Linked DNA regions of Ovis aries. The protein of the gene in region 3 interacts with the protein of the main gene of each other region in a biochemical or structural test. Links are inferred from orthologs where the notes say so. Each region holds a gene or a part of one and is shown on either strand. Other genes may lie near its edges. The genes, in order: ESRRG, HDAC3, NR0B2, SMARCA2, RARA, ESR1 and HNF4A.

Evidence for each region.
Region 1: the proteins of NR0B2 (region 3) and ESRRG form a complex in vitro, tested with the Homo sapiens proteins (2 studies listed by BioGRID). The link is inferred for Ovis aries from reciprocal best matches to the Homo sapiens genes NR0B2 and ESRRG.
Region 2: the proteins of NR0B2 (region 3) and HDAC3 form a complex in vitro, tested with the Homo sapiens proteins (2 studies listed by BioGRID). The link is inferred for Ovis aries from reciprocal best matches to the Homo sapiens genes NR0B2 and HDAC3.
Region 4: the proteins of NR0B2 (region 3) and SMARCA2 form a complex in vitro, tested with the Homo sapiens proteins (2 studies listed by BioGRID). The link is inferred for Ovis aries from reciprocal best matches to the Homo sapiens genes NR0B2 and SMARCA2.
Region 5: the proteins of NR0B2 (region 3) and RARA form a complex in vitro, tested with the Homo sapiens proteins (2 studies listed by BioGRID). The link is inferred for Ovis aries from reciprocal best matches to the Homo sapiens genes NR0B2 and RARA.
Region 6: the proteins of NR0B2 (region 3) and ESR1 form a complex in vitro, tested with the Homo sapiens proteins (2 studies listed by BioGRID). The link is inferred for Ovis aries from reciprocal best matches to the Homo sapiens genes NR0B2 and ESR1.
Region 7: the proteins of NR0B2 (region 3) and HNF4A form a complex in vitro, tested with the Homo sapiens proteins (4 studies listed by BioGRID). The link is inferred for Ovis aries from reciprocal best matches to the Homo sapiens genes NR0B2 and HNF4A.

What each region holds. Positions count from the first base shown.
Region 1 is NC_056065.1:19,381,047-19,385,211, forward strand, and holds the start of ESRRG (estrogen-related receptor gamma), read right to left. Parts: upstream 2,801-4,165; 5' UTR 2,647-2,800; coding exon 2,591-2,646; intron 2,506-2,590; exon of another isoform or gene 1-2,505. UniProt on the Homo sapiens protein: Orphan receptor that acts as a transcription activator in the absence of bound ligand. Binds specifically to an estrogen response element and activates reporter genes controlled by estrogen response elements.
Region 2 is NC_056058.1:50,376,670-50,380,169, forward strand, and holds part of HDAC3 (histone deacetylase 3), read right to left. Parts: intron 2,364-3,500; coding exon 2,274-2,363; intron 2,148-2,273; coding exon 2,089-2,147; intron 1,824-2,088; coding exon 1,744-1,823; intron 1,438-1,743; coding exon 1,280-1,437; intron 1-1,279. UniProt on the Homo sapiens protein: Histone deacetylase that catalyzes the deacetylation of lysine residues on the N-terminal part of the core histones (H2A, H2B, H3 and H4), and some other non-histone substrates.
Region 3 is NC_056055.1:240,027,852-240,031,605, reverse strand, and holds NR0B2 (nuclear receptor subfamily 0 group B member 2), read right to left. Parts: upstream 2,626-3,754; 5' UTR 2,589-2,625; coding exon 2,048-2,588; intron 1,090-2,047; coding exon 848-1,089; 3' UTR 501-847; downstream 1-500. UniProt on the Homo sapiens protein: Transcriptional regulator that acts as a negative regulator of receptor-dependent signaling pathways. Specifically inhibits transactivation of the nuclear receptor with which it interacts.
Region 4 is NC_056055.1:70,296,004-70,299,503, reverse strand, and holds part of SMARCA2 (probable global transcription activator SNF2L2), read right to left. Parts: intron 350-3,500; coding exon 1-349. UniProt on the Homo sapiens protein: ATPase involved in transcriptional activation and repression of select genes by chromatin remodeling (alteration of DNA-nucleosome topology).
Region 5 is NC_056064.1:40,344,003-40,346,832, forward strand, and holds the end of RARA (retinoic acid receptor alpha), read left to right. Parts: intron 1-25; coding exon 26-184; intron 185-756; coding exon 757-974; 3' UTR 975-2,330; downstream 2,331-2,830. UniProt on the Homo sapiens protein: Receptor for retinoic acid. Retinoic acid receptors bind as heterodimers to their target response elements in response to their ligands, all-trans or 9-cis retinoic acid, and regulate gene expression in various biological processes.
Region 6 is NC_056061.1:76,487,730-76,491,729, reverse strand, and holds the start of ESR1 (estrogen receptor), read right to left. Parts: upstream 2,801-4,000; 5' UTR 2,702-2,800; intron 1-2,701.
Region 7 is NC_056066.1:72,799,991-72,803,490, reverse strand, and holds part of HNF4A (hepatocyte nuclear factor 4-alpha), read right to left. Parts: intron 3,143-3,500; coding exon 2,906-3,142; coding exon of another isoform or gene 2,877-2,905; intron 2,581-2,876; coding exon of another isoform or gene 2,200-2,580; exon of another isoform or gene 1-2,199. UniProt on the Homo sapiens protein: Transcriptional regulator which controls the expression of hepatic genes during the transition of endodermal cells to hepatic progenitor cells, facilitating the recruitment of RNA pol II to the promoters of target genes. Activates the transcription of CYP2C38.

The DNA.
Region 1 (4,165 bases), on a different chromosome or scaffold from region 3:
AGAGGAAACCTTACAAAATAAAACTTGCATAGCTCCAAACAGGAATTTTAAAAAAACAAACACAAATCTGCTTAATTTTTGAGGTCTGGATTTTCATGATCAGGTCTGGATTTTCATGATCAGGCTGAAATTCAAATACTAAACTGTTCCCTCCTAGCCTTGCCTGTTTTGGAGTGTTTCAATTGCCTTTCCTTCTTCCAACAGCTGTGACAACTGCTAAAACAGTCAGTAAAATTAAGTCCGCTCTATAATCCTGTAGTCAATGTTACATTTTAATCAGAGGTTGAAAGAGAACCGTGATGAGCACACTCATTTAGAATGATTAGACTGACACATATGTCAAAATGAGCAGATATATTATTTTCATCTATTTATGCTATCAGTTATTACTGCTATTAAATGTGAAACAAGCTTTCAAGTATTATGCTCTTTAATGCACTGGCACATTTCCCAAAATTAAAAAAAAAACAACATAGTTATAGGTTAACATTTTAGGCTCTCCTAATGGTGGTCAATAAATTGAAGGAATCTTTTCAACAGCCTCCACAGCAGAAATTGTCCAATATTCTCCTCTGAAACTGCATAACTCTGGTTTCATTTCTGTGTATACACACACGTGATGGGGTTTAACCCAGCACAATTACTATGAATATTAATAGCATGTATAAATTCTGTGGTTTATTAATTGAGACAGAGAGGCAGATGCGTTACTAAGCATTAGATCTTTCTGTCTGTCCAGTGAACCACGTAACCATCAGAGCTGCATCCAAACAATAAATCTGTATTTTTTAAAGATGACTTTTAATTGAGCCAAAAAGGAAAGCTAGTTTGAATCTTGCGCCAAAGCCAAAAGGACATGTGTCCTGATTTCATTTAAATACATCTGCTTTAAGAGGCTTATCGAAACTAATTATTCAAATTAGCTATAAGAAGTTAAATTCAAGGAAACTATTTTACAAAGAAGGCTAGGGGAAGAAGGCAGATTTTTAAAGTTTGTTTTGTTTATTTATTTATGAGAGAAAGTTCTGAATTGGGTGAGCTTGGATAATGCATTCTTCCTGACATGAAGGTGTATTAAATTCTCCAGTGCTACAGCCTCAGGTGTACTAACCTTCAAACTCCACTTGAGTGGGCAGTCCTACCTTTGTTTATTTCTCATTTTTATTTTCACACAATTTAAGGTTTCTTCCTTGGAGCATTTGCAACTGACGCAAGCACTGCCTTCCAATCTTTCGGTTCTTCCTAAGTCCATCCCTGGGCTAACATCCCTGGTGTGAGTGTGTATGCGTGCAAGCACATCTACAGACAGGCATACACACACACACTCAAACATATGAGGAGCCACTGAGACTGCAAGTCACTTTTCATCTCTTGCTTAATTACAAAGCAAGGCAATATGCAGTCACTAAGGACCGCTAGTGGACATCTACCTATAATGCATGACCTCCTCCTCTCGAGGGTTTTATGTTTTCTTCACAATCTAGGGAGAACTGTTTGCCAAGAGCACTCTTTTCAGAATTATAACAGTTGGTATTACTGTAATGGGAAAGCAAAGCCATATAACTGACTCAACAGAAAGAGGAACCAGTGACAGTTACTGTGATAAACTAGTATTTTATCTTAACAGTGGGTTGAAATTAAGTTTACGACCTACTCATTTTTACCCAAGAATGCCTGATTTACTCCTTTTACCCCCTACTCACTTCCCCCCGACCCTGAGCAATACAAATATGTATATTTCCATGGGCATAAAGATATTCATAAATATGAATGAAACTGCATCTAAGGACAAAAGTACTTTTCTGCATTTTCTGGACATGATACACGAAACAAATCCACAATCTCAGCATCGTCTGTTCAAGGAGAAATTTAAAAAGTCACTACTGTTTCTTCTTTAGTTTAGTTTTTTTTTTTTCTCCCTTTAAATATTTATAGCGTGTGAAAAATCTCATGTTACTTAATGGACTGATTTGTCAGTTAAGTGCTGACTTAATGCTAACCATGCAAATAACATTATTCTAGCCCCGGCTTGCATAGGGCTAGTTTTTAAATTGTTCTCTGAAGGAGAATTAGTAAATGTGCAATTTTGCCTCTAACTCTGAGCGGTAAGAAATGACGGGGAGCTGAAAATATCTGTCAAGCTGCAAATACATAAGAGGCACTCAATAGTATAAATCATTTTGAATATTGTATTTTAAAACATCTTTCCTTGGGAAAATGGGTCCTAGTAAAAGATGCATTTTAACAGTTCACTAAGCATTTGTGCCAAGTGCCTATTCTTAGCACCTGAATAAGAAGTGACTGTCACACAGCTGTTTTACTGACAGTCACTGAGCTTTGCCTCAAAGGTAACATTGTAGTCAGAGAACAATTCTCGACTTCCTGAATTAGGAGATCACCCTCAACACAAAAGGCACAAGACAGACACAAACAAGCACTCGTGCACACGAAATACCCAGGACATTACCTGATTCAGTGCGCCAAGATCCATTCCGTCCACCCCCCAAACCACCCCCCCCCCGCCCCGCCATACACACAAACACGCGCACCCCCACGACGAGTTTTAAAAAGGAAAGAAAAAGGTACCTACTCTTCCTCGTAGTGCAGGGAAAAAGATTCAGGAAGGCAAAGTTCTACCGAATCCATGTGCGACCGGCAACCATTATTTGTGTACCCCCGCTATAAATCAAAGTTTCCTTGACAGAGCACAGTGCAATTAACACAAATGTTCTCCTAGTGACAAGCCTATAGGCACAGCCAGTTGGGACCAGAGCTCTCACACTCTCCTAATCAAGGACTTAAAGCCCCGATTGGAGCTTATTAATATGAAGTAGAGCTTAACATATGCAGTCCCACCGGCCCAGGCGCGCAGCCGATTGGGGGGCGGCTGCCCAATCAGGAGGGAGGCGACGGGAGGCTGCGAGGAGCCGCGGAACCAGGCAGGTACGAAGGGTGCAGAGACGCGACCCGGCTAGAAACTGAGCGCGAGAGAAAAGGGAGCGGGGACCAGAGATCCGGACGCTCCGGGCAGATACTGCGCCAGGCCCGCGCTTGCTTGCTCTTTCTTTTTCTCTCTTCTCTCCTCCCGTGGGAAGCTAGAAAAGAAACCTAACTAATTTAACCCTCCAAGCCCCGGAGGGATCTGTCTTGGGTTTCTCACCCAAGATCTCTTTTTGCCTTGCCCAGAAGAACTCACGCAGACTCTCAGAGTTAATTTGGGAAAGGATTCTGCGGAAGGTAGAGAATGAAGTTTGTCCTGCCGTTGTCTGTGTTTGATTCCACCGGGGAGGGGGCTCCTGCTTATTGAGTGCTGTACTTTCTCATTGATCCGTCATCGTGTTGTCGTCTGTTTCTCTGATCTAGACTGGGCATTTAAAAAAAAAAAAATCCAAGATATGACTTCTAAATTGTTCGAGCATGCGAAGTGGGAATCGTCCTCTGAGGTGGATTGCAGTTTTACATCACTACAGAAGAGGAGAGTGCCTCAATGCAATTTTCGAAAATGCCTATGTAAATTCTATATGTAAATATTTCTTTACCTGCTCCCCCTCTCTCTACCTATAGATATACAATGTATAGCTTTTCAAAACAAAGATAAAACAACTGCGGGACAAATTGGCTCCTCCAGTTTCAGGAGTAGGAGACAGGGCTGCTGGGTAGCTAGTGCATTGAAAACGTCTCAGTGCATTTTGACAAAATAAAGACTGCATTTTTTTTTTTTTCCCTGTAGGGAAAGCAGTGCTAACCAGCGCACTGAAAGTGTTCTTAGTCATACATTTATTTCAATACAAGCTTCCAAACTGGGAAACATATACAAACACATATGATTTTTACCCCAAACATCAGCTTTCAAATAAAATGTAGTTTATGTATTTGTCAATTATACATAACACACCCTGAATGCTTTAAAAAATCAACTCAGAAACATTTCGTAAATCATCACACAGTTTGGTCATTATAAGCATGAGTTTCAAACAGAAGTGCTTTTTAAAGACAGAATATAAGAAGAGAAGGTTGTTTTTTCTCTAATAGTGTATAAGCCTGATTTTAGTTTCCATATAACAAAGAGTTTGCTTAAGTCCTATTTTTAAATACGGGATCTTTTTATACTAGCAAATGTACATGGTAATAGCTACCAGCTATTTATGGCAAAGAGATAACTGCT
Region 2 (3,500 bases), on a different chromosome or scaffold from region 3:
AAAAAAAAAACAAAACTGCACAACACTGAAAATGAGTGTATGTGTGCCCTTGTGTTTATACATAAATATTGAACAGCACAATTGTAATCTACAGAAACTGGAACATGGACTTAGAACTGGACACGGAACATGAAACTTAGAACTGGACATGGAACAACAGACTGGTTCCAACTCAGGAAAGGAGTACATCAAGGCTGTATATTGTTACCCTGCTTATTTTACTTATCTGCAGAGTACATCGTGAGAAACACTGGGCTGGATGAAGCACAAGCTGGAATCAAGATTGCCAGGAGAAGAATCAATAACTTCAGACATGCAGATGACTCCACCCTGATGGCAGAAAGTGAAGAAGAACTAAAGAGCCTCTTGATGAAAGTGAAAGAGGAGAGTGAAAAAGTTGGCTTAAAGCTCAACATTCAGAAAACGAAGATCATGGCATCCAGGCCCATCACTTCATGGCAAATACATGGGGAAACAGTGGAAACAATGACAGACTTTTTTTGAGGGGGCTCCAAAATCACTTCAGATGGTGACTGTAGCCATGAAATTAAAAGACGCTTACTCCTTGGAAGAAAAGTTATGACCAACATAGACAGCATATTAAAAAGCAGAAACATTATTTTGTCAACAAAGGTCCGTCTAGTCAAGGCTACGGTTTTTCCAGTAGTCATGTATGGATGTGAGAGTTGGACTATAAAGAAAGCTGAGTGCAGAAGAATTGATACTTTTGAACTGTGGTGTTGGAGAAGAGTCTTGAGAGTCCCTTGGACTGCAAGGAGATCCAACCAGTCCATCCTAAAGGAAATCAGTCCTGAATATTCATTGGAAGGACTGATGTTGAAGCTGAAACTCCAATACTTTGGCCAACTGATGTGAAGAGCTGACTCATTCGAAAAGACCCTGATGCTGGGAAGGACTGAAGGCTAGAGGAGAAGGGGATGACAGAGGATGAGATGGTTGGATGGCATCACCGACTCAATGGACATGAGTTTGAGTAAACTCCGGGAGTTGGTGATGGACAGGGAGGCCTGGTGTGCTGCAGTCCATAGGGTCACAAAGAGTCAGACACAACTGAGCGACTGAACTGAACTGAAAAGTTTTACAATAAATGTATGTCACTTACATCATTAAATCGGGGGGAAAAAAAAGTATGGGATGGTTGTATACTGAAGAAGGTACACTGAGGACAATTAGACTAATGCTGTCTAACTTACTTTTTCCCTCTTAACTTCCCCCAAAACTTGCTGGAATTCCCTGCTCTTATGACCCTGCTCCAGACCTGCTGTAGTTTTCCTCAGGACCCCTCTCCTCCGCATCAGCCTCATCAGTCCTATCGTAGGTTAGGAGGTCTGCCGGCACATCGTGAATCTGGACGCTAGGTGCATGATTCAGCATCTTCAGGTTTTCAAAGATTGTCTGGCGGATCTGGTCCAGATACTGGTTGGGGATGAGGAATAGACAATGAGCAGCTCCCAGTGACTCCCAGGATGTCAATGCTTGTAGCTGCCTTTTGTCCCTGCAGTCCTAGTTTCAGTCCCATTTTGCATCTTAGTTTGAATCCCCCAGCTGGTAACTGTCCCTCCTCCCAACCCTGACTGCCTGTGCTTTCACCGGGGCTGCCTCCTAGCTGATAACAGAGATAGTGATGGCTGAGACTCTCTTCCCTGGTTTCTCTGATTTCCCACATCCTGGACCTTTCCTGGGCTCCTCCACCCTTGTGCTCAGCTTCTCCAAGCTGCTGACCTGGCGTGAATTCTGATTCTCGATGCGGGTGCTGACATCCGGATGGAGCGTGAAGTCCGGGGCAAAGTACTCGAAGTATTCTTGGGGAAAAAGGAGGAGACATGATGGCTCAAATAGACACAGGCAGGTCCCAAGAGTTGCCTATCTTTTTCCTTTCCATCCAAAACCCCTACATAACATCTGCTCAACCTTTTCCCCTCTCTAGGCCCAGGGGTTTAGTTTGCAGAACTCTGATAAAGTCAAACTTCCCATCCACTTTCAAACCAGGCCATTCTATGGTCTTGTGAGAATGGCCTTCTTGCTGTGGGGGCATGGTCCCCCTTGCATGTGTGGGATGGTCCTTACCGCTATAGGGAAGCTCTTCACTAATGGCCTCTTCTACCAGCAGTGATGTCTCATATGTCCTGAAACAAACCAGCAGAGCAAGGCAGGCTGAGTGAGTGGGGTGAAAGGTCCACTGGCCATCTCTCAGGGAGAGCCCCTAGCTCACACTGTACAAGGGAGAGGAGGAAAAATGGGGGCATGCTCACCAGCAGCGGGCAACATTCCGGACAGTGTAGCCACCACCACCTAGCACCAGTAGAGGGATATTGAAGCTCTTGACATATTCAACACATTCCCTGTTAAAAGAAACCAGAGGAATGGGTGGAGGAAGTTACCAAAAGCCAGAGAACACACTTCTAGAGGCCAACTGGAAAGAGGCACAAGGAAACTAGAAATGTTCTGTATCTTGACCTTGGTAGTGAAAATCATTGAGTTATATCTCTGAGATATGTGCACTTTATTGCCGGCACGTTGCGTCTCAGTGAAATTTAAAACAAAGTGCACTCTCACCTCTGTCCTGCTTAGCACCCACCCTAGCAACCCACCTGTTAATCAACTAGTCTCACCAATGTACCAGCAAGTGCTGTCAGTTTAGCCACCAAAATATAACTCACATCACCTACCTCTCTCTACCGCCACCTCCTCCAACTTAGCCTCCTATCTGAGACAACACCAAGAGCTCCCTAACTAGTCTTCCCACTTCCACTCCTGTGTGCCCAGCCCCACCCCAAACCTTTCTCCATTCAGCCCTCAGAGCAGTTGGTTTTTTTTCGGCGGTGCCACAAGGCATGTGAGATCTTACTTCCCCAACCAGGGACCAAGCCCATGCCTCCTGCAGAGGAAGTGCAGAGTCCTAACCACTGAACTGACAGGGAAGTCTTGAGCAGTCACTTTAAAATTCAAGCCCAGAAAAAATAAAATAAAATAAAATAAAATAAAATAAAATTCAAGCTGGATCATGTCACTTCCCTGCTTAAAACCTGTCAACAGTTTCCCAACACATCTGAAATATAATTCAGACTCCTTAGCAAGGTCTAAAGGCTCTGCATGACCCGAATGCTGCCGACTTCTCAGACATCACCTCAAACCACCTCCAGCCTGCTCTCTGTGTTCCACCTGACTGGTTTTACTTCATCTCCTCCACGATACCCCTCTGCCCTGTCTCAGCGTGTCTGCATGCACTCTTCTCACCGCTTGGGATGGACCTCTCTCTGTTCTTCTTATGGCTCACTCCTTTTAGGCTTCAGGTCTCAGCTCAGAATTTTGGAAAATTCTTTCCAAATCATGGTATCTAAAGTAGTTTCTCCACTGTTATCCCATATCTTAGCTTTCTATCTTTTTCTTCCATAGAATTTATAACAATCTACCTATCTTGTTTGCTTACTTATAGTTTTGCCTGTTTCCTAGGCTGAACTGTAAACTCCATGGGAGTT
Region 3 (3,754 bases):
TGGCCTGCAGCACGCCAGGTCTCCTGTCCATCACCAACTCCTGGAGTTTATTCAAACTCATGTCCATTGGGTCGGTGATGCCACAGGGGAAGTGAATGATCCCACACGACAGAGATTCCCGGAAACTTTCAATTTGGAAATGGGCTGCTTCATTTTCCTTATTGGTGACTCTCAGTGAGGTGAGAGGGAGGCTGGGGCAGAAGCAGAGGGAGGGATCAGCAGGGGATTTGAGGAACAGGGAGGGATACTCCTACCCCTTGATATAAGGGCAAGGATGTGTGGGGTCCTGAACTGATACTAACTCCTGGATCAGATCCATGTAAAATAAATCTCACTGCCAGAAATGAAATCAGCATCCCACCCTGAAAAATCAAAACTCCAGTTTCCTGAGTTCTGGCTTGTGTGTCACTTGTAGCTCCTTCCTCTTGGGCTCCTCTGGCGGGCCGGGGGACTCTGGAGATGAACCAGTCCCTTCCACGTGTACAAACTACACTGTCAGGTTCCAAGGGTGTCACACCTTTTATTACAAAAGCCAATAACTTAAGTCAGTTCCGTACAAAGTCAGTAGAACTCCTGGCCCAACAGCGGACACTTCTACCCTGCCCCAGGAGGGGAGAGGAGTCTTGGCCCAGAGGCTCTGGAACCACCAAGGGCTGGCCAGACAGCTGGAGCACTGTGTCCAAACTGAGGAGGGTCAAGGTGGGATGTGGCTGAGTGAGGGCCCACCTGATTGGGCTGGAGCCAGCTGCTCTGGGGAAGCCTCTGGGAGCACTGGGTCACCCAGGGGACAGCCCGGCCAAATCAGCGCTGCCAGCCTCCACCCAGGCCCTGCTTGGGCTGGAGCAGGTCAGCTCAGCAGAAGCATGTCTTCAAGGAGGTCCGCGATGTCAACGTCTCCAATGACGGGGCGAAGGAAGAGATCTCCAAGCAGGCTGGGTGGAATGGACTTGAGGGTGGAGGCCATGAGGAGGACACGCGCCAGGCGGCTTTGGCCTGCTGGGCACCAGGGCTCCAGGACCTCCCACAGTGCCTGGTGCGCCTCCTGCTGCAGGTGCCCGATGTGGGAGGAGGCGTAGAGACCTGGCACTTCTGCGGACAGAGAAGGCAAAGATGGCTGCTGAGTGGCCTACTCCAATACCACAGGGCAAGACTGGCCCAAGACCCAAGGCCACCAGCTTGGCGCCTTTGAGTCCCCATCACTACCTCCTTCATTTATTTATTTTTCACTTCATTTATCCATCCTTCATGGAGACGCAGGATAGAGCCATGGGTAAGACCCTGGGGGGCCTGGCTTTTAATCCCACACTGTCACTTATTAGCTGTGTGCCCTTGGGGAAATTTACTCAATCTCTGTGCCTTGGGTTCCTCGTTGATAAAACTGGGACAAATAATAGTACCCATCTCCTAGGCTTGTTATGAGGTTTAAATGAGCTAGTGTATATAAAACCTTTAGAACTCGACCTAACATACAGTAAATGTAATGCGAGTGTTTGCTATTACTATAATGAATTACTCTGATCATGCATTCCTTGGGGGCATTTTGATGATTTCTCATCTAAGCGCCTTTCAGATCACAAAGAAGTCTTCCTCTATTTGTTGTCCTGGCTGAAATTTACGAAGACTCCTCCCTCTTCCCCCTCCCCACCCCCATTTTCATTTCTCTTCTCTACGTGGTCTTTCTGAAACCGCAGTTTCATCTTCAGAACTTCTCCATGCAGTCTGCTCATGAAGGCGTGACCGAGGCATAGTCTGCCCACCCTCCCCTCCCCTTCTGCCCTAAGGGTCAGGGAAATTTCTTAGCAGAGCAGTAAGGACTAGATTTTGACATCAGTAGACCTGAGTCCCCATTCTTTCTCTTCCCCCACCTGGCTATGTGACTTTTCGCAAGTCGCTTTGCCTCTCTGAGCTTGTTTTGCAAGATGGCTATTTGGAGATAATCAGGACCCAGAGGGATTTCAGTTGTTAAGTCCTTAGAATGCGTCTTTCCCTGGCTGAGCCCTGCCCCCCTCCAGCCTTGGCCCTCATCCAGGAGTGTCTGGGATCTCACCAGGGTTGAAGAGGACAGTCCCTTTCAGGTAGGCATACTCCTTGGGGCCCAGCTCCAGACTCCAGAAGGACTCCAGGCAGCACTGTAGCCACTGCACCTCAGCTAGCGAGGGCTGGGGCCGATCGGGCCGCTGGCTGCTGCCTGCCCCGCTGCTGGGCTTCTCCAGCAGGATCTTCTTGAGTATGCTAGGCATCGGGACCTCGGCCACCTGGAAGGTCACAGTGTCTTGGGCCAACCCCAGCAGGAAGAGGGGCCCCCAGCAGCCCCGCAGCAGCTGCCGCCGATCCTGGGAGGGCAGCTGGCAGAAAGACGGCAGGTTCCTGAGGAAGGCCAGCGTCTTGGCCAGAACATCCAAGGCCTCCTGGCAGGTGCGATGGGGCGTACACAGCTGAACAGGCCGGTGCTGCCTGCACAGGCAGCGGCCGCGGGCTGGGGCCACGGAGGGCCAGTCCCTGACGCTGGGGCTCAGAAGTGTATACAGAATGGTCGGGCGGCCTGCAGCACCCTGGCACGGGCAGGACCCTGGCTGGCTGGAGCTCATGGTCGAGGATCTGCTTTGCCTTCCTGCTGGCTCTCCCACCCTCGGCTTGGTGCTGTGGGTGCTATTTATATCCCCAAATGGGGGAGGGAGGGGGGAACCGCCCAACAACCTTGACTCCAAAAGTCATGTTCATTGAAAAAAAAAAAAAGAAACTCACACTGACCCTGGCAGGACCCAGGGGGAAGTGGTGGGGGAGGGAGACTTGGGAGCTCCACGTGGCCCCGATATCACTTCAGTCAATGAAGCAGCGGGTGCAGGGCACAGGGCCGCCTGCCCGCTGGCCCCGCTGCCCTTTATCAGATGATTCAAGTGGATAAACAGGGTCATTAACCCAGGCTGTACCAGGGCACCAAGGCCTCAGGTGCACAATCAGCAGGTGGCCGTGGCAGGTGTCCCCATTGGTGCCTGCAGGACTCGCGCTCAGCAGGGGAGCCAGCCCCAGAGCCGACGAGCCTTGAACGCAGGGCCCAACCTGGAAGCGCCTTATCACTTGCTTGTTTGCCTAACCTTGAGGCCCTGCTCCTGTTGTTAGTAAGGAACAGGCTGCAGGGAAGGGAGCCAGGATCCTGGGGGTGCTGGGAGGACTTTGCCTGGCTGTGCAGTCTGGAGGAAGGCCCCCTTCCTCTAACCCCAAGTTCTGGGTGGCGGAGAGGCCTGCAAAAATAAGGTCCTTAAGAACTCTCTCTCCCCAGCCTGGACCTCTTGAAGGGCCCTTGTCTGCTGAGAAGCCCTGGCAGAATGATGATGAAATACTACTGTTTATTGAGCACCTACTATGCGCCAGGCACTTTCCACTCTAATATTCAGAGCTTCCTTCTGAGGCAAAATGCTTGCTTTTTGAGACTCAAAGAAGTCAAGTGACTTGTCCAAGTTCACATCACTAAAAAGAGACAGAGCCTAGATCAGTCTGACTCCAAAATCCTTGCTTGTACCCCTGGACCCACTGGCCCAGTTGTGCAGCCAGAGCTGGTGACGACCTGGGCCCCCACCTCACTGTTGTAGACGTTGCCCACTTACGATCTGGACAGAAACGTTGCTCGGCCGCCAGCTGCATGGCTCCTCTGTCCCCAGGCAGCTGTCTCGGATGCTGGGGCCTGGGCAGTGAATGCTGGTGGCAAGGTCCTTGGCTATGTCAGGTTTGTGGACCTTGGCAAGGCCAGCTTGGC
Region 4 (3,500 bases), about 170 Mb from region 3:
TGCGGCTGTGGCTGCTGCGGCTGAGGCTGGGGCTGGGGCTGTGGCGGCGGCTGTTGCTGCATGCCAGGCAACGTCCTTTTCCCCTGGACTGCAAGCTGCAGTGTTTCAGGGAGGGGCTGGCCCCGGGCCAGCATCTTGTAAGCTAAAATCTGGGCTCGGAGCTGATGCAGCTGGACGGGACTGAAAGGAGAGGGACCCCTGTTGGGCTGGTTCATTGCCTGAGGGTCGCCTGGGATGAGGGGTCCTGGCTGGCTCGGTGGCATCTGTGGTGGGGTCGGGCCGCCTCCTGATATAGGGCTGGACACGTGCTCTGGGGCTCCCAGCGGAGATGGGTGCGGCGACATGTAACCTGGAATAAAACACAAAGGGAGAGGTCACAGGCTGCCCCCCATGACCCTGAAAGAGAAACATTCCTGGAGATCCTGACGATTTTCCACAACAGCATTGACTGAGAGAAATTTAAAGCACATGTAACTTAATGGGATTATATATAATTTAAAATTTATGTATATCAAATATATATATACATATAAAATTAAAAGAAACAGACAAAATTGTAATAATATATAATTTAAACCAACATACCCCTAATATTATCATTTCAAAGAATAAAAATTATTAGAGATTTTACATTTTTGTTTCCATATTAAGTTACTGTACATCTCCAATGGGACTAGTCACATTTCAAGCAGTGGATAGCCCGATGTGTCCTAGAGGCTTCCCTGATAGCTTAGCTGGTAAAGAATCTGCCTGCAAAGTAGGAGACCCTGGTTCAATTGCTAGGTCAGGAAGATCTGCTAGAGAAGGGATAGGCTACCCACTCCAGTATTCTTGGGCTTCCCTTGTGTCTCAGCTGGTAAAGAATCCGCCTGCAATGCGGGAGACCTGGGTTGGGAAGATACCCTGGGGAACGGAAAGGCTACCCAATCCAGTATTCTGGCCTGAAGAATTTCATGGACTGTATAGTCCATGGGGTCGCAGAGAGTCAGACACGACTGAGCGACTTTCACTTTCACTTTCACGTGTCCTAGATGGTGACACGACCTAGTAGTGGCTGTTGTACACCTAGAGGAAGGGCACAGGGGACAGTATTATACATTAAAAGGAGCTCCAACCTAGAGACCAGAACTTGAAGCTCTCTGCTGTACTGCAGTGCAGAATGAGGACTCTCTTACGGGGATATTATTTGGTTTATTATTATGCACTTTATGAGTAATTTGCCATTATTGAGGGCCTCCATGGTTGTAGGCACTAAGCAAGGCACTGTACATGCTATTTTAGCCAAGTTTACCCTGGAATCAGAGCCTGATGGAAAGACTGAGTGCAGCTGATTTATCTGAAAGGTGCAGGGATACTGACAAGAGTGTGGAAAGGTAAAATAAGGGAAGGAAGCCAACAAGGAGTGTATGGTTAAGTCAGTTGCTGTAGTGCATGCCTGAAGATTAATCTCATGCTGTGTGTGTGTGTGTGTGTCTGTGTGTCTGTGTGTGTGTGTCTGTGTGTGTGTCTGTGTGTGTAAGGTGGATGCCGGTAAATCAAAATCAAGATGGTGGTCTGGCCAGTAGATATAAGGATGATGGGAGCACAGAAATGGTAAGAAGAGTTAGAGGATACATTTTTTTTTCTATAGTCCTCACAACACTCCCAGAAGATACGTGCTGTCGCCTCATTTTTTAAAATGAGAGTAAGCACATTACACCATGTCACACAATTAGATCTTGGTAACCAAGATTCACCTGATTCCAAGGCATATGTTCTTTCCATGGTCTAATATTAATTTTGTTGTAGTAATATAAAAATAAGTTAAAGGCTTGAAAGCTTCCAAAATCTTCTAGAAGCATTTATGTGCTGCAAGCTAAGTCTCCTCAGGTGTGTCCAACTCTTTGTGACCCTGTGGACTGTAGCCCGTCAGGCTCCTCTGTCCATGGGATTCCCCAGGCAAGAATACTGGAGTGGGTTGCCATGTCCTCCTCCAGGGGATCTTCCCAACCCAGGGATCAAATCTATGCCTCTTACGTCTTCTGCACTGGCAGATGGGTTCTTTACCACTAAGGCCACCTGGGAAGCCCAGAACCATTTACAATGTAATATAAAAATGAAAGTAATCTGTTTGGGTGATAAAGAGACTTAAATGGAAAACTTAAGAATACTTAAGAAAGAAAAGTCAAAATGCAATAAAATTTTCAAGAAACTTATTTCAAGAGATGAACTGTGGAGTCTGGCCAAAGAATCCCTAGAAAAATATAGGACTGCACATTGCTGAAGGGAGATCCAAGAGGAAGGAGAGGACAGAGTGGTTTGCTGTACCCCAAAACATTGTCTTCCATTCAAATTGAGGGCTAACTCATCAACTCAAAGGCATTCTAAGACACAATGTAAAACATTAAATTAAAGGTCTTTGCCATTAATAAATCCACCTGCATCACAATTATTTTAAAGGTCATCACATAGGTGTTTATTAGGCATCTGCCGTGTGTTTCAACACTTAATCAAGTTTGAGCTGAAGCTGCACTCTGTGTCTATGTGGAATTACAGAGGCTCACGAATATCTGACCCACGCTGCCTGGGGACTCAACATCATCATTTGAAAGACTAGAGAAAATAAAGGATACAGTTCCTTTTATCTCAAATTGCCATTTGGAGAGGGAAACAAATTTAGCCTGATCCCCTAAGACAAGAGTAGGTTTTGTTCTATCAATTGGTGAGATGTAGAACTCCATTCTGAGTAATCCTGCCCTGAAGAGAAATGGAAAAGCTGCTCACTCTCATTTCCGAAATCCCTACTCTGTAATCGAGCACAAAAATCATGAAGGCATTAGGGTTCTAGTTGATCACAGAAGTTAGCCTAAGAAAATGCCCCTGCAATCAGCCCGCTCATCTGCAAGATGAGCAGAAATTCAAATCCCAGGATGTTATTTATAACAATAAACATTTTTAAGTATCAATAACATATACTTAACTTCATCATTAACGGTTTTCCTTCTTAACGAGGTTAAAATTCACCTCCAAATTGTAATGCTGGTGCAAAATGGTAGTTTGTTCATTATGAAAGTACCTCCCTAACACCTTTCTGCCAACTTTGCATCTATCACTGGAGGAAAAACTTCCTACTATAGCTACTGACATTTCATGGGAGAAGGGATACAACCAGGTGTTAAAATGGGTCACGTCTCCTGCCTTCTGGACTGTCCTCTTTCCTAAGGTCGTCACCAATTATAGCTTACCCGTGATAAATCACACGATGCCTAATACAACTGACCAAAACATTAGACAATCTAATCTAAATGTAATTGTGTAACACACTTCATCAAATCGCTCTTTTCAACTATGTCTCCTGGCATGGCAAAATTATAAGGATGAGACACTTAGTTGTACTAAGTACAATAATTCGTTTTACCTCAAAGTTGCTAAGAAAGAAACTAAGAGTGAAATAAAAATCATTTTCCAGAATTAATCAATACAACAAAATCTTCCCTCAAATGTGGTAAGAAAAAAACTAG
Region 5 (2,830 bases), on a different chromosome or scaffold from region 3:
TGAGCGGGCTTCTCTGCTTCTTCAGACCGGCAGGACCTGGAGCAGCCAGACAGGGTGGACATGCTGCAGGAGCCGCTGCTTGAGGCACTGAAGGTCTATGTGCGGAAACGGAGGCCCAGCCGCCCACACATGTTCCCCAAGATGCTGATGAAGATCACAGACCTCCGGAGCATCAGTGCTAAGGGTGAGGCTCTCTCCCTGTGTGTCTGCCATCCATGTCCAGAGTCAGGCCTCCTGCATCTGAGCCAGTACCCCACATCTTTGTGCCCATGTGATGCCCCACTCACCTGGACCCCACCGTGCCCAGGTGACCTCCCTGCCTGTGAGCCCCAAGGTGGCAGTGTCATCTTGGCATGCTAGTTTAGGGCATGGCTCTGGAACCAGACCATTGTGTGTCCTTGAGCGGGTCACACGACGGCTCTGAGCCTCAGTTACTCATCTGCAGAGCAGGGATAACATTTACGGAGTTGTCTTGAGATGTCAGTAGGAGAGTCAGCAGCACGTAGGAAGGGCCTGGCATCAAGCCCAGTGACCCCAGAGCCAGAGTTGGGAGCTACTTTGCCCTGCTGCCCTTCAGCTGTCGGGGCTGAGGAGAGCTGGCTTAGGTCAGAAAACTGAGTGCAGGGTTCGGTGTGTGGCGGGAGCTGATACTGGTACTGTGGATCCTCCTACCCCTTGCATGCTCCCTCCTGGGGCCAGGCTTGCGTGCAGGGCTAGAGGAGCAGGGTGGGCCCACTGACCTGTTCTCTCCTGCAGGGGCTGAGCGGGTGATCACGCTGAAGATGGAGATTCCGGGCTCCATGCCACCTCTCATCCAGGAAATGCTGGAGAACTCAGAAGGCCTGGACACTCTGAGCGGACAAGCGGGGAGTGGGGGGCGGGATGGGGGCGGCCTGGCTGCCCCGCCCGGCAGCTGTAGCCCCAGCCTCAGCCCCAGCTCAAACAGAAGCAGCCCGGCCACCCACTCCCCGTGACTGCCCTTGCCCGGTGGACACAGCCCTCACCCCGTGCCCTGGCTTTTCTCTGCCTTTCTACCAACCATGCAACCCCCGCCAGCCCTGCGCCCCACCTGTCCTCCCTTGCCCGGGGGACTGGAGGGAGGAGGTGGCGGCAACTCTTCAGACAGAGACCCGGGCCTGCGTTGGACTGCCCGCTCCTGGAGCTTGGGCTGACGTCAGGGGCGTGGCCGTGGACTGAGTGAGGACCCCTGGTCCCAGGCCTTGGGATGGGGCCTGGGGGCTTCGTGTTCATCAAGACACCCTTCTGCCCACCTCGCCACATCTTCATCACCAGCAAATGCCAGGACCTGGCTCCCCCATCCTCAGAACTCTCAAGCCATTGCCCCCCGGTTGGGGAACCCCCCCTGCCTCGGTTGGTGACAGAGGGGGTGGGCCAGGGGTGGGGGAATCCCCTGTACATACTTTGCCATACCAACCCCCAGGTATTAATTCTCGCTGGTTTTGTTTTTATTTTAATTTTTTTTTCTGGTTTTGATTTTTTTAAATAAGAATTTTCATTTTAAGCACATTTATACTGAAGTGTGCTGTGTATTGGGGGGAGCTGGATTCAGAGCTGGAGGGGGGGGTGGGCCCTGGGGGAGGGGAGTGGCTTGAAAGGGGCTTCCCCTCTCTCTCCAAGTCCCTGTGCCCCCCAAGGCCCCCTCCCCAGCCATTTCCTCCTCAGTTTTCTCTTTAAAACTGTGAAGTACTAACTTTCCAAGGCCTGCCCTCTCCTCTCTCTCTGCCTAACCACTGGGCAAGGACAGTTTCCCAGCAACCCCTGGAAGGAGTGGCTCACCCCCGAGATGGGGCTGGGGCAGAGCACCGGGGCCTCAGGACCTCCAGGCATGTGTCTCTCTGCCCTGTGTCCTCAGCGTAGCTGCTTCCCCATCAGAGCCCACGTCACCGAAGCCCTCCAGCGCTCCCCTCCCCGTGAAGGGGCTGGCCAGGGGGTCCAAGCTCCCCTGCCCTCCAGCCTCATGGCCACCAGCACCGCCCACAGGGCCCCCAGACACACACACACACACACACACACATGCACACACACACAGTGGACAGACAGGCCGACAGACACGGAGCCTGAGTTCCTCCATTTCCCTGACCTGCCCCCCCACCCCACACCCGTGCCCCCTCCTTGCCCCGCAGGACGGGCCTATAGGGGGTCCCCTCACTTCACCCCTGCTCCCCCGGGGCTGGGGGAACTGGCTCTGCCCTGCCCTCCTTGCCCCGGGGTTGGGGGTCTCATCCCCCCCAGAGCCCGCTGGTGCACCTGTTACTGTTGGACTTGCCACTGAGATCTACTGGATAAAGAATAAAGTTATATTTATTCTACACATGCCTCAGAGCCTCGCTGCCTCGCCGCCTTCTTTCGGTGTCCGGGCAGGGACTGGGGCCCAAGCTGCCTTCGGGACCTGCCTTGCTGTGCTCAGAGCTCTGGAAACGCTGGAAGGAGACAGGCCTGCCCTTAGGAAGCCCTTGGTCTAGGGGTCTCAGCCTGTCAGGGACCCATGTAGAGAGGCAGGAGGGAGAGAGAGAGAGACCGCCTCAGCCTTCAGGGAGTCCCCAGCCCGAGAGAGAAAGCCACCTCAGCTCTCTGAGAGTCCCTAGCCCTTGGGAAGCTGGAGCTTGAGTCAGAGTCATTTAGTGGCAGAGTTCTATCTTTAGTGGCCGCCGATGACCTTCACAGCAAGAGTGGCAGTTGGCCCGGGGGGCTTGAGTCAGGGGCTTGCTCATTGCAATCTAAGAAGACCTTAGGATTGGGATGGAACCTGGGAGGCCGGCCCACTTGTTCTTCCACCTCCAGGAAGAACTGTCCCTGTCTCACCCCTAAC
Region 6 (4,000 bases), on a different chromosome or scaffold from region 3:
ATATTAAGAGATGCGGGTTCAATCCCTGAGCCAGGAAGATCCCTGAGGAAAGGCATGGCAACCTACTCAAATATTCTTGCCTGGAGAATCCCATGGACAGAGGAGCCTGGTGGGCCACAGTCCATAGAGTCTCATAGAGTTGGACACAACTGAAGCAACTTAGCATGCACACAGGGATAACGCAAGCCTCGGCATCCTGACTCTGTCTCAGAGTGAGAAAGAAAAAAAATTTACACTCCTTAGAAAGAATCATAAACTCACTGATGTGCAAGGTTTTGTCAGGGTCCAGTGGAAATAAACCAGAGGGAGTCAACTGAATTGGTGCCTAGAAGGCAAGATCACCTTCCTCACCATCACCTTCATCAAAAGCCACCTGCTAAGACTTCCCTATAGCTCAAATGGTAAAGAATCTTCCTACAGTGCAGGAGACCAGGGTTCAGTCCCTGCATTGGGAAGATCCTCTGGAGAAGGGTATGGCAATCCACTCCAATATTCTTGCCTGGAGAATCCCATGGACAGAGGAGCCTGGCGGGCTACAGTCCATGGGGTCACAAAGTGTCGGATACGATTGAGCAACTAACACATACAAGTACCTTGCTCTAAAACTAGCAGTGGATTACACTCTGTGCAGGGAGCGCAACAGTGGGATTAAGGACAGACACAGCCATGATGGACATGAATGGGCAGGACCATTTCTCAACCGCTATGAGGGAAACTTAAGCTATGAATATTTTACAACCAATATCGATAATTTACTCAGAGCTGGGGGTCACTCTATTCTTGCCTACTAATCTTTGTACAACCTGCAACCATGAACAAGTTCTGTTCTCTGTTTTGGGCAAACTAAACCCTAGGCACCAGGCCCTGAGTCTTGGCGGTTGTACTGATCAACCGGACTAAATGAATATGGACAAATACTGAGAGAAGCCACAGAAAACCAGATGAGAATGTTTAGCAGAACTGCAGTGCAAATATTTACATCGTATAGAGGTTGAGAGTGGGTGTTAGCAGAAAGGAAGAGATTCGATAACTCTAAATCCTAAGCTGAATGAAAGATACAGAGTTAATTGAAATGAAAGATAACTGTTTGACTTCGTTCTTGCTGCAATTTTGAGAACATAAGCTTTAATCCCTTTCCTCAACTGTCATTGCCATAAAACAAAACAAATATCTCCAAGAGTCTAAGAAAAAATATCCAGCTAGGAAATAAGGCACTTACATTCATATTCAAAATTTTTGCTTTTTTTCCCTCCATGTTGTTGTCTCTAAGGATTATGTTATTTTTATTCCCAATTTATTTGAAACCTAATACCCTGTACAGTGTTATATCTAACCACTAGAATAGTATAGTCACGTGCATTAAATCCTAGTGGGCAATCTTCATAGGATGTTAACAAAATTGGAGCAAACATTTGCTTTGGAGAAATAGGAAAGGCTTATATAGAGTAGAAACAGGTTCTGAAGCCTACATCTCATAAGTATTCATCTAATTTCATTTCGTCTCTCGGGGTATTTTAAGATAAAATTCAAACACTGCAACCTCATATTCATAAATTCACTTTCAACATTAATATATACACCATATATACATCATAGAAGTGAGATAAACAAACATATATGTGTGTGTGTGTGTGTGTGTGTGTGTGTGTATAATATTCAAAACCAGGTGAGTTTCCCAGCAATCTTGTGCATGGAGTTACTTTGCAAGTCTGTTATATCTGGCCCAGAAAGCCAATAAAAAATCTGGCTTCTTTGAACAGAAATCAGTGCCATGATCCCAAGTCCTGATAAAGCTCAATCCTTACGTTAAGATTTTTTTTTTTTTTTTGATTATGTTGGCTACTATGGGCATGTCTGAGAGAGCGAAGACTGGTTACCCTCTTAGCACAGCACAGAACTTAGAACGTACTGCGCATTTCCTGAACCCTGTGGCATGCCTCTAACCAAAATGAAAGTACGCTGCCCTGTCTTTTGTGACTGCCACATCATTATTTAAGTAGCACTCTGCGGTGCGGGGAGACACTTATGTACACACCAACCCCCTGTAAAAAGTGTCCAGGAGCTTTCTTCCACAGGAGAGCAAACTGAGGCAGAAAGACCCAAGAGAACTTGCCCTGAAATCACAGGGCAATTTAAAGACAGGGTGGCTGACTTTTGGACTGCTAGATGGCGTAGCTTTTCAGAAAACTTGACTGCCTTCAGGAAACAAGTAATGGCTTATTCAGATTGCTCAGTTTCAACTCACAGAAGTTACGGCACCCAGAGATGATGAAAACAGGTAGTGTGTTCATGCTAGCCCGTGATCAGTCCAATTAATAATTCTTGAAATTCTGCCACATTTCAATAATCCAAAACCTCCTAGCTAGAGCTGGATCAAATAAATAGGCGTTATCTGGAGCAAGCAGACAGCCTGTCAGTGCAGTGCTAAGCAAAGGGTAGTCGGGTTGCCCTCTGACTCAGCTGAATATTATTTGAAAAGTGGATTTTTCACTGTACCAAGTTTAGACTTAACATTTCAACGTCATACTAATGCTTGCCAGCAACTTTGCAAAATATCCCTGGAGCATTAAGAGAAAAATGAACATCTTTTCACAGGAGAGGGAAGCTGTAAAGTTACATCACATTTGTAAATAGTAGCACATATAACAAAAAGAAAAAAGTATATATATACATATATGCTGAGAAGAAGAAATAGGAGTACCTGCTTGAGGAGGAGAATGTCACTGAAAGACTGTCTTCTTACGCTATAGAAGGGCAAGGGAAAGGAACATTAACCTTTCGAGTCCGTTAAGGAACTTCTGAGCATGGAGCCTTTATTTTCAGTTTTGGTGAAATCCGTTCTGAGGCAGTAGACAAGCGGCTGTTATGACCATGAAATTAGGAAATGCAGAAAACTCAAAACTAAAGAACTAGCACCACCATTTGACTAGGAGTGGAAAAGTCTTCTGTACAAAATAGAGGAGGGGGTGGCCTTTCTTTCTCCACACCAGGCCTGATTCTCACTGTCCTACCACTTGGGTCAAGACAGACATTTCACAAGGGTATAAGTCATCTGTTAATCTGCCTGAATATTTTTTCTTTTTTTATGAATACCAGCTCACTTTCTCTTCACTACTAATAAAGGTTAAAGTCTAGACAGGCATTTGGGGTTGGAAAAATAATAATCAAACATTCACTGGGCACATAAATTTTGTTACAGCTCAGAGCAGGAATAAGGATGCATGTTCAGTGAGCATTTTGGTAACTTTCTCATTCAACATTGGCTTGACAGCTTTGCACTGCTGGTCCCTGATCAGTTAGGTTCTTGACTTCAGTGTCCTGCTGAGGTTAACTTCTCTCTGCCTCTGAAGCCGTTCCTCTGCCATCTGATCGTCCCATGGCCCATCTGGCTTTTCGTCCAGCCATTTAAGAGTTTGAGGGATGTTTACTTTTTCATTTGCCCACGTAATATGTATTTTAAAGGATCTTTTAAAAGCACGTTAGCTTTTTCTACTCAAATCTGAAGGAGGCTGGTTTTCTGCAAGTGAGGATGGTGGAGGACAGGTAAGAGAGGTCTGTCTTGTTCCTAGGCCTTCTAGAATCCCCAAGTGCATGTTGACATCTGTAGGGCAACCCATGCATCTCAAAATCAGCTTAGGAAAGAAAATCAAAATCCTCATAGCCCATGCTTGAAAACATTTTGAAAATAAAGGCTCTTAATGGTCATCCTCATGTGGTTCAGTGGTAAAGAATCTGCCTGCCAATGCAGGAGTTTGATCCCTGGATCAGGAAGATCCCCTGGAGAGGGATATGGAAACCCATTCCAGTATTCTTACCTGGTAAATCCCATGGACAGAGGAGTCTGGTGGGCTACTATCCATGGGGTCACAAAAAAATCAGACATGACTGAATACACACACATGCACACACAGGATTGCCTTCCATCTTCTCTACACTTGCGAGTTAGCCTGTAAAGTAATTTGAATATGCAAATTGTCTGAGATTAATTTCCACATAGAGC
Region 7 (3,500 bases), on a different chromosome or scaffold from region 3:
GGCTCCTCTGGCCATGGGATTCTCCAGGCAAGAATATTTGAGTGGGTTGCTATTTCCTTCTCTGGGGTTCTTCCTGACTCAGGGATCAAACCTGCATCTCCTGAGGCTCCTGCACTGGCAGGTGGATTCTTTACCACTGAGCCACCTGGGAAGTGCAAATAAGTCCATACACCACAACTAGAAAGCCTAAATGCCAGAACAAAAGATCCCACAAGATGCAACGGAAGTCCTGCATACTGCAACTAAGACCCGATGCGGCCAAACAGATAAATAGAGAAAAAGATTTAAAAGTACACCTGTTTCAATGATAGCTATCAACATACTATGTGCCAGGTACTGTGTTCCCGCATTTTCCAGGTTTGACATAATTTAACCTTCACAACAGCCCTAAAGGCCAGGTATCATTATTAACCTCATTCTACAGATGAGATGACAAGGCCCAAAGAGATGAATTATTTTACCCAAAGTTTATCTGGCAATAGGACACAGGCTCCTTGCTGATCCTAGCCTCAGGACATCTGACTCACGGTGACCCTGCATTCACAGGGTCAAAGTGAGAAAGAAGTGAGTTACCATGTGACAGTGGTTCTCAGCTAGGGGTGATTTTGGCCCCTCGGGGGACCTTTGACAATATCTGAGTATCTGTCACCACTGAAGGAGTGTTACTGGCGTATCACGGGTAGAGGCCAGTCATGTGCCCAAAGAAGACACAGAAGAGCCCCCTCAGCAAAGAATGACTCAGACCCAAGAATCCACTGAGGTTGAGAGACCTTGCCCTTGGCCATCACCAGTGATCACGTCACCTCCAAAGTCTCACGTTCAAGCATCTTTATGTAGACCCTGCCTCCTATCCTTCCGGCTGGCTTCCTCTAGCACCATCACTGCAAACATTCTTCAGCCCCGTTGAGGCTGTCATTTCACTGGCCCCCACTCTTCACTGACTGCCACCTGTCTTCATCCGTCTTAGTCCAGCCGAGATTCCACGGCACATCATCACAATCACTCCCCTGCGATCAGCCTTGGCTCCCTCCCAGCTCCCTTCTGAGCAAAACGTTTTCCAAAGGCAGTTGACTCTTGCTGTCTCCACTTCTCCACTTTCCAGCTCACTCCGTCTGCAACACCTCCCCTGCTTTCCTTTCCCACTGACACTGCTCTCAACACAATCGCCGAGAGCCCCCTTCCCTCTCCTGTGGAGTTTAACACCATTAAATGCTCTGTCCCCACTAAAGCACACTCTGCTCTTGGCTTCTGGGACTTCCCTTGGCTTTTCTCTTATCCTCCTGGCTAGGCTTTCCTCCATTTCCTTCTCTGGCACCTGGTTTCTGGGACACCACTAAGCTGACTCTTATCCCCAACTTTGGGCTTGTTTGAGCAACAAATATTATCTGCCTCCTGGATAACTCAACGTGACTATTCAACAATCATTTCACACTTCACTAAATTCTACAATGGATCTTTACCCCCTACCCCCACCCTCAGTCTCAAATTAGTTTTTTCCCCCCAGTCCTCCCCATCTCAATAAATTACTCCACCACCATTCCTGTTCCTCAAATCAAACATGTAGGTTTCATCCTTGACTCTTACCCTTCCCCTTATTGCCCCTGTCTGATCAATCAGCAACTTCTGTGAGTTCTTCCTCCAAATAGATGTTCAAGTGCATCTGTGTTGATCAATTTCCAGTCATGCCTTGGTCCAAGCCTCCCTGTCCTTCCCCTCATTGAAGACAGTGACATTTCTCAGGGGTTTCCGGTCTCCATTTTCCCTCTGATGTTCAGTTTCTACCCACCATTGGGATAGTTTGTTGAAAACATTAGTCTGATTTTCCACTTTTCTTTTAAGAGTTGCAATGAGAATACAATGCAAATCTCTAACCATAGCCTCTAAGACTATATTTATGATTTGGTTTCTTCCCAATCTCTGTCTTCATTTCATACAGTTCCTCTTGCCTCACAAACTTATCTTTCTCCAACACACAAACCTCTGCTGCTTTGGGGCCTTTTGCACTCGTTACTTGTGCTAGGAGTGTTTCTTGTTTGGCTTTTAAATGTTCTCTTTCCTTCCATCAGATCTGTGGCATAAAAGCCACCACTTTCGAGAGGTCTTCCTTGACCAACCTATCTAAAGAGGCCCCCTTTCAGTTATACTCTATTGTATTACTTGGTTATTTCAAAATTTGTAGTTGCCCTCTTTATTATATACTCAATTATCATCTGTTACCCCAAGTGTTAATATACACTGGCATGCATGCATACACACGCACACGCATGCACACACACGCACACACACGCACACGCATGCACACACACACTCATATATACACTCATACACAACCTCCAGGAAAACTGACTCTTGTTCTCTGCTGAACCTCCAGCACTTAGAACAGCGACTGGAACATGGTAACTTCTCAGCACCTGAATTAACAGGCCATTGTCCCCATTTTCCTGATGAGTAAACTGAGACTCTGGTAGATAAAAGGATTTGGCCAAAGCTACAGAACAAAGAAGTCATGGAGCTGAGCAGAGAGCTCAGGTCTGCATGAGGCTGGTCTCTTTGAGAGGCTACCTCTCCCAGCCTGGCCCACTGGCTCAGATGGTAAAGACTCCTCCTGCAGTACAGGAGGCCTGGGTTCGATCCTTGGGTTGGGAAGATCACCTGGAGAAGGGCATGGCAACCCACTCCAGTATTCTTGCCTAGAGACTCCCATGGACAGAGGAGCCTAGTGGGCGACAGTACGTGGGGTTGCAAAGAGTCAGACATGATAGAGCAATGAACACTTTCACTTTTTCACAGAGTGAGGAAGTGATGGAGCTGAGAGGTGAACGCAGCTCTGCATGAGTGAGGCTGGTCTCGGAGAAGCGGCCTCCAGCCCCGCCCACCTCCCGGCCCTCCCGGGCTGGACACCAACCTCCCAGCAGCATCTCCTGCAGCAGGTTGTCGATCTTGGCCATGCCGAAGAGCTTGATAAACTGGATCTGCTCAATCATCTGCCAGGTGATGCTCTGCAGGGTGGGCAGCAGCAGCAGCAGCTCGCCGAAGCGGCCACGCGAGTCGTACTGGCGGTCGTTGATGTAGTCTTCCAGGCTCACCTGCACCTGGGAACGCAGCCTCTTGATCTTGCCTGGGTCACTCAGCCCCTTGGCATCTGCAATGGGAGGGGTCATGCCAGGAAGGCAGAGGGCCAACCTGGAGCGCCTGGGGAGATGGGGCCCAATGTCCCGTTACTCCGGGGGCTCTTGCTGGGAGGCCTAGTGGCCTGAGGGCACCTAGAGAATCCTAGCAGTGCTGGGGCAAGACTTCAGGAACACTCCCAAGAGGGCACCTTGTAACCTTCTCATCGTACAGATGGGGAAACCAAGGCACACAAAAAGGAGAGGACTTGGCCCAGACCACAGAACCACTTGTTGGCAGATCCATGATGTGGAATTAGGGCTCCTGACTCCCAGGTAAGGCCCCACTGGCAGTCCAGTGGTCAAGACTCCATCTTTCAGTGCAGGGGATGC